Ovis aries: one gene and its partner. The main gene of each other region encodes a partner of the protein of the gene in region 2 in a complex. Links are inferred from orthologs where the notes say so. Each region holds a gene or a part of one and is shown on either strand. Other genes may lie near its edges.

Region 1 (4,378 bases), on a different chromosome or scaffold from region 2:
GGTCATTTCAGATTTAAAGGGCTGCAAAAATAGCATGGAGTTCCAGAATCCCTATATCCAGTTTCCCCTTATGTTAACATCTTACACAACCAAAGACATTTATCAAAACTAAGAAACTAACACTGGTACAAGTACAGCACTTCTCAGATTGCACCAGTTTTCCCACTACTGTACTTTTTCTGTTCCAGGATCCCACACTAGTTGTCGTGTCTCCTTAGTTTCCTCTGTTCTGTAACAGTTCCTCAAACTTTCCTTGTCTTTTACAACCTTGACACTTCTGAAGAATACTGGTCAGTTATCTTGTAGCGTGTCCTTCAGCTTCGGTTTATCTGATGTGTCCTCATGATTAGGTTGTGCTTATGCATTACTAGAAGGGAATCAGAGTGATGATGGACCCCTTAATGCACCATATTAGGAGTACCTAATGTCAACATATATTACTGGTGATACTAACTTTGATCACCTGACTAAAGTAATGTCTGCCAGGACTGGATTCTCCACTATAAATTTAATATTTTCTCTTAAATATTTTGAGGAAAATACTGTCATTAACATTGTGATGGGGAGAATTCATCAGTAGGGAAACATACTTCACTGGAAAAGGAAAAACTTATTAGATAGGAAGTATGTAAACCGTATTTGGTTAAAGAGTCTGTAAAGACAAACAAATAGAGAAGTGAATGCTTTGAAATCTTGTGTTATATTAGCAAAAAATATTTTTAAAACAAAGAATGTCTAGAAGAACAGATCTTGGTCAAGATACATGAAAATTCAGGTAAGACAAAGAAACAGCTGTGAAGATTCCGAATTCTTGTCATCATAAAAATAAAGAAATCCAAGTGGAACAAAGGCTCTGGTAAGAAGTATGCTAGCATCACTATGCGATGCTCTGGTGCAGTAATCCTCTTATGCCTACCTAAGAAGTAACTGTGTTAGTCACTCAGTCGTGTCGACTCTTTGCGACCTCAAGGACTGTAGCCCGCCAGGCTTCTCTGTCCATGGAATTCTCCAGGGAAGAATACTGGAGTGGAGTGCCATTCCCTCCTCAAGAGGAACTTCCCAACCAAGGGATCGAACCCTGGTCTCTTGCCTCGCAGGCAGATTCTTCACTGTTTGAGCTACAGGGAAGTCTCCATAAGACGTAAAACCATATACGAATGGAGTAAATAACATCAGAAATGGAATAATGAGCAGTCAACTTTAGGTGAGAAATTGAGATATAGGAAAGGATTTGAATGGCTTAAAAAACCAAACTACTTGACTCTGTAGTTTCAAGAGCATTTAGGAACTGCTTATGTCGGAACTGGCATAAGTAAACCAAGTGTTCCATGTGTTGCCTGATCTACACTCAGCCATAACTATGTATAAAGGACCAGGACTGGAAGATGGAGAGCATGTTCTCATGGTGCCTTTCAGGGGCTGGCCTGAATCATCAGTAATAGAATCAGCTCCTCTTGCCACTGCCATAAAAGGTCAAACCCGTCTACTGAAGGAGGAGAATAGACCCAAAACTTTATGATCTCCATGTCACTGGACTGCCTCACATTGTTCACCATCTTCCTGCCTTGTCCATTGCCTTAGTTCAAAGTCCCAACTTAATTCCTACCCTCAGACCTGTTCAGGGTCCAACAGAACCTTCGGCTTACATTCAAAGGAGTCCCTGCTCCAACTGATGAAAGGTAAGGAACAGGTAAAGTAACGGAGGTACGTTCTTACTTGGGACCTGAATTGAAACACTGATCACATGTATTTACTTAAAAAATTTAAAAACGTATGTCTGTGTGAGCCCATATATACACACATATATATAAATATATAAATTGGGGTTAAATATATAAATTGGGGTTAGGATCATTACTATCTATGAATCACAGGTTAAACAGAATTTATACGGAAGTCTGAGAATAGTGTCCCTACAAGGAAACTATTAAAAAATCATTCTCAAGTACTACTTACATTCTTTAGAAAAAAGTCTCTTTCTTTTACCCTGTCCACCTTCTGCACCTCCTCCAATTTCTTCATTTTCTTCCTCAAACTGAAAGTTAAAACGTATAGATATGTCAAACACTGCTTCTGACATTTTAATAATTAGCTTTTTTTTTTTTTACATCTTCAACACCAGTATCATGCCAGAAAGCCTAAAGCAAGCAGCAAAAAACAATGAAACTTTAGCATTTTGGGGGCATTAAAACTATCTCGCCCAACTTCAGACTCACGCAGGAGTGGCTTCTACAATGCCCCGTTAGGCATCGTACTGCTTCTCCTGGGGGAGTTCCAACGACCATACATTCTTTTTTTAAACTAAGTTGGCCTATTTCTAGATAGTTTTACTATTAAAAGAGTTGATATTGAATGAAAGCAAGCAAAACTAGTATTTGTTAAGCATTTCCTACACAGTGCTAAGAACTTTCCTCAAGTAAACCTTAAGCCTATTTTATGACATGAAAACTGAGGCTCAATTACTTGCTCAGTGACTTGAGTCCATTATTTTTCCACTACTTTACAGTAAAGTGTACAGTTTTCTTAGCACTTGAATTGTTGTTGCATAATGAGCCCTAACAAACACTAGCTTTGCCCCCTGATGATTCTCTAGGTGATTCAAAGGGTATCTGGCAAATATGAACCAAAGGTAAAGGGCGGGGAGCCACCTACTCCTCCAGCCCCGCTTACTAAAAGGATGAATCAGAAGAAAAAGGCTAGCCCGGGGAGAAGTCCCCGATTCTCTCGGCAGAATCACTGAGGTAAAGAAACCCAATTCTCCACTATGCTTCCGCTACTGTGCTCGAGGTAGTAAATTAAAAAGTAGGTTGGAACAGAGGCGGTCACTCACGGTGGGATCCTCTTCTTCATCTGCCATCCCACCAGCCAGCCGCCTCCACTGCGCGCCCGCCTTCCTCGGAGAGCTTTTTACTACTTCCGCTGCCTCATTTCCGGTGACGAGAGGGGCCGGGGCGGGGCCTAGCGGAACCTCCCCTGTGGAAGAGGAACAAGCACCTCCCGCCCAGCGGTGAAACCTGAACAGCGAAGGATAAAGTCTTGGAAAGTAGGAATTAAACATTAGCATAGAAAAGGGATGAGCTAGATGGCGTGTATCTCGTTGTCACCTTGAGCTTTCTTCTGCGTATCAGATCTCCGCTTCCTGATTCGGTCCTGTGAAGCTTTGGATCATTGAGGGGCTAGACAGGGGTGAATTTAAACAATTTGAACAACTTAGAGTTCCACTATGATTTATTGCCAGGGCTTCCCTGGTGACTCAGATGGTAAAGAATCTGCTTTCAGTGGAAGACCTGGGTCCGATCTCTGTGTAGGGAAGATCCCTTGGAGAAGGAAATGGCAAACCACTACAGTATTCCTGCCTGGGAAATCCCAAGGACAAAGGAGCCTGGCGGGCTGCAGTCCAGTTCAGTTCAGTCGCTCAGTCGTGTCCGACTCTTTGCGACCCCATGAGCCAGAGCACGCCAGGCCTCCCTGTCCATCACTAACTCCCGGAGTTTACCCAAACTCATGTCCACTGAGTCGGTGATGCCATCCAGCCATCTCATCCTCTGTCGTACTCTTCTCCTGCCCTCAATCTTTCGCAGCATCAGGGTCTTTCCAAATGAGTCAGCCCTTCACATCAGGGGGCCAAAGTATTGGAGTTTCAGCTTCAACATCAGTCCTTCCAATGAACAGCCAGATCTCCCTAAGGATGGACTGATTGGATCTCCTTACAGTCCACGGGACTCTCAAGAGTCTTCTCCAACACCACAGTTCAAAATTATCAATTCTTTGGCGCTCAGCTTTCTTTATAGTCCAACTCTCACATCCATACACGACTACTGGAAAAACCATAGCTTTGACTAGACGAACCTTTGTTCACAAAGTTATGGCTCTGCTTTTTAATATGCTGTCTAGGTTGGTCATAACTTTCCTTCCAAGGAGTAAGCGTCTTTTAATTTCATGGCTGCAATCACCATCTGCAGTGATTTTGGGGCCCCCAAAAACAAAGTCAGCCACTGTTTCCACATCTATTTGCCATGAAGTGATGGGACCGGATGCCATGATCTTAGTTTTCTGAATGTTGAGCTTTAAGCCAACTTTTTCACTCTCCTCTTTCACTTTTATCAAGAGGCTCTTTAGTTCTTCACTTTCTGCCATAAGGGTGGTGTCATCTGCATATCTGAGGTTAGTGATTTTCTCCTAGCAATCTTGATTCCAGCTTGTGCTTCTTCCAGCCCAGCGTGTCTCATGATGTACTCTGCATATAAGTTAAATAAGCAGGATGACAATATTACAGCCTTGACGTACTCCTTTTCCTATTTGGAACCAGTCTGTTGTTCCATGTCCAGTTCTAACTGTCGCTTCCTGACCTGCATACAGGTTTCTCAAGAGGCAGGTC
Region 2 (3,334 bases):
TTGATGTGGGTATGACAGAAAAGTCCTAGATTCTTGGTTCTGATATAGACTAGAGAGAGCCTGGGGGAAGTAAGTTCAACTCTTGGAGACTTTTTCCTCATCTGTTAAGTGAGGATATTGATACCTGCCTCTAATATTCAGGAAATCATTAAGTGGAATAAACTTAATGGAATGCCTAACACACAGATGTAGGCAGCAACTATTAGTTCCCTTCCTCCCTTGCACTGCACACCCTGTGTCTACCTCCAGTATTTTAACTCCCATATATTGGTGAAATGGCAAGTTTAACTGTTAATGCCTCCCTTTGCAAGACCACTGGTGCCCGGAGGAGTAGAACCTTCTCCTACTTAACTCTGTATTTGCAGACCCTAGCTCAGGACTGACAAAAATAAATTTTTGCTGTGTTGAAAACCCCACTCTTTCACTAGCCGTGATTTTACATAAATTGTTTATTAAGACTGAAAGACAGCCATCCCTCTGTATCCTCGGGTTCTCCATCCACAGATTCACCCAACCGTGAACTGAAGATATATATATTTTTTAATTCCAATTATAAAAGACGAAACTTGAATTTACCATGCACCAGTAAACTATTCACATCGCATTGGATATTATAAGCAATCTAGAGATTATATAGAGTATACAGTGCAAATACTATGCCATTTCATATAACGGACTTGAGCATCCACGGATTTTGGTATACATGGGTTGGGGACGGGAGTCGGGGGAGTCCCGGAACCAATCCTACCAACCCTTCACCACCTATACGGACGGTGGACTGTACCTCTCTCCCCATCTGCAGCAGCACTGTGTCAGCTGTCCGGTTACCTTCACTTTGGGCAGCTGGCGGGGAAAGAGGCTATTCAACTCCACTACAAACCCTTAAAAGGCTGGATAAAGGAACTTAGAAAAGATGCAGACACGCAGGCGACCAACAGTAGAGAGGTGTCGGGGCGATGAGCATCAAAGCAAGAATTTTAGACGTCAGGCTGGGTGAGGGGGCCTCAAGCCCATAGAAGAGAATCCTCGACATTGAGGGGTTCCCATCCCAGCGGATCCACACTGGAGAACCGCGGGTCCGGACGCGAAATGTCCGCGCCAGCCCAGTTCCGCAACACTTGGTCTCCGCCCTCCCGCCTTTGTCAGGTAGCGGCTGGATGGGCGGGGAATAAAGGAAGGAGGCCTAAGGGAGGAGCGAACGTGGCGTGGGAGGAACGAGTCGTGGGGCGCGTGACGTCACCCCTGGTGTGTGCGTAAGGTGAACGGAAGCGGAAGCGGCTCTGTTCGCCGCCTCTCCCACCGGCCCGATGAGCTGCAGCGGCTCCGGCGCGGACCCCGAGGCGGCGCCGGCCTCCGCCGCCTCGGCCCCGGGCCCGGCGCCCGCGGTCTCGGCCCCCGCCGCGCTGCCCGCCGGCACCGCCGCGGAGAACAAGGCCAGCCCCGCGGGGACGTCAGGGGGGCCTGGGGCTGGAGCCGCGGCAGGGGGCACTGGAGCCGTGGCGGCGCGGGCCGGGGAGCCTGCCGAGCGGCGCGGGGCGGGTGAGGGCCGGGACGGGTGAGGGCGAGGGCCGCGCTTTGGGCTGGGCCCAGCGGCGGGTGAGGGCAGAGGGTAAGACACACCTAGCGGAACCCTCGAGCCTCCCACCTCCGTGTCTCAGTTTGCTGGTTTTCCTCCAGCTCCAGTGACGACCGGCGGCGCGGCGCCCCCGGAGGGGGCCATGTCTAACGGGGTTTACGTGCTGCCAAGCGCGGCCAACGGAGAGGTGAAGCCAGTGGTGTCCAGCACGCCTCTAGTGGACTTCCTGATGCAGCTGGAGGATTACACGCCTACGGTGGGCTTCCTGCCTGAACAAGGCTAATGACTCGCTGTCACGCCAACTTCTGCCACACCATCTGGATTTGCAGCATCCTCTTGTGTTTCTCTTCCTAGCTTTTGTGATTTTTCCCTTCTGCCCACCCAAACTGGGAGCTTCCTGATAGCCAGGCCTGCCCTCCATTTCCCTTACCCCGACTCTCAGCCCCGCTGTACACAGGGCTAACGCTTACAGTCGTCTAATTGATTTCTCAGATCCCTGATGCAGTGACTGGTTACTACCTGAACCGTGCTGGCTTTGAGGCCTCCGACCCACGCATGTGAGTAAACTCTGGGCAGGTTAGAGTGTTGGGTGTTTGTGTGGAGTTTATTGTCTATGCTCTTCTCATACCATTTTTTTCTCTCCAGAATTCGGCTCATCTCCCTAGCTGCCCAGAAATTCATCTCAGATATTGCCAACGATGCCCTACAGCACTGCAAAATGAAGGGCACAGCCTCTGGCAGCTCCCGAAGCAAGAGCAAGGTGTGAGGGGAGGCTCATTGATTCAGTAATTACTTCCTACAGCAGCAGAGGCTTAAATTATCCTGAAACCCCTTTGAGGGAAATTAAGCCTTAGGGGAGGTGAAAGACCTACTCAGGGTCACCTGCCTGGGATTGAAATCTGGAATTCCTGTGTTCAGCTGGTGCTCTTCCCTCTTCCCTCAGGACCGCAAGTACACTCTAACCATGGAGGACTTGACCCCTGCCCTCAGCGAGTATGGCATCAATGTGAAGAAGCCGCACTACTTCACCTGAGCCACCCAGTCTAAATGTACTTGTCTGTTCTCTTGTCCCCACACCAGCCTGTTTTCATAATAAACTTTATTGTGACAGGCAGGGCTGATCCCTCCCATGCTGGGAGACACCGTGTGGCAAGTGACAAAGCTTTGAGCCCATTCCCTTTTGGGGCCACAGTGGTAGGGATGGGGGCAGGGGATGGGCCCCATGGCTGGGGTAGTACCATGACTAGTGGCAGGGGAGGCAACCAGAGGCCTACTGCTTTGGGGAGGTGCACTCCCCTAACCGTGTCCTGACACCTCTGGAGTTCAGATAAGGACTTTCCAGCTCTACTTGTCCTGCATCTTCTCCAGGATAGGCACGATCATGTCAAACTTGGGCCGCTTAGCAGGGTCTTCATTCATGCAGATCTTCATGAGTTTACAAACGTGGGGGGAAATGCCTGGTGGGATGGTAGGCCGAAGGCCTTCCAATGCCACCTGCAAACACAAGGAAAAACAAGGTGAGTCTCAGAACTTGAGTCTCATGTCGGGAGAGACGTCTAGCCCTCAGGACAGGATTCTGTGTATTTGAATCAATGTGGCAGGAGCCCAGCCCCACTACAATTATTGTCACTACCACCACAAGTATATCCAGTTATGCTCTCACCTTCATTCCAATTTCCATGTTGGAGAGGTCAGCAAAGGGTACCTCCCGTGTCACCAGTTCCCACAGAAGCACTGCAAAACTCCACATATCTGCTG

The links. The genes of interacting proteins can lie anywhere in the genome.
Region 1: TAF10 (region 2) and TAF13 share a complex: the UniProt entries of both Homo sapiens proteins name them as parts of the TFIID basal transcription factor complex. The link is inferred for Ovis aries from reciprocal best matches to the Homo sapiens genes TAF10 and TAF13.

What each region holds. Positions count from the first base shown.
Region 1 is NC_056054.1:86,377,734-86,382,111, forward strand, and holds the start of TAF13 (transcription initiation factor TFIID subunit 13), read right to left. Parts: upstream 2,902-4,378; 5' UTR 2,858-2,901; coding exon 2,831-2,857; intron 2,036-2,830; coding exon 1,957-2,035; intron 1-1,956. UniProt on the Homo sapiens protein: The TFIID basal transcription factor complex plays a major role in the initiation of RNA polymerase II (Pol II)-dependent transcription.
Region 2 is NC_056068.1:46,195,675-46,199,008, forward strand, and holds TAF10 (transcription initiation factor TFIID subunit 10), read left to right. Parts: upstream 1-1,282; 5' UTR 1,283-1,307; coding exon 1,308-1,539; intron 1,540-1,677; coding exon 1,678-1,832; intron 1,833-2,068; coding exon 2,069-2,133; intron 2,134-2,221; coding exon 2,222-2,336; intron 2,337-2,519; coding exon 2,520-2,609; 3' UTR 2,610-2,690; downstream 2,691-3,334. Other genes in the region: ILK (integrin-linked protein kinase), read right to left, coding at 2,921-3,070, 3,240-3,334. UniProt on the Homo sapiens protein: The TFIID basal transcription factor complex plays a major role in the initiation of RNA polymerase II (Pol II)-dependent transcription.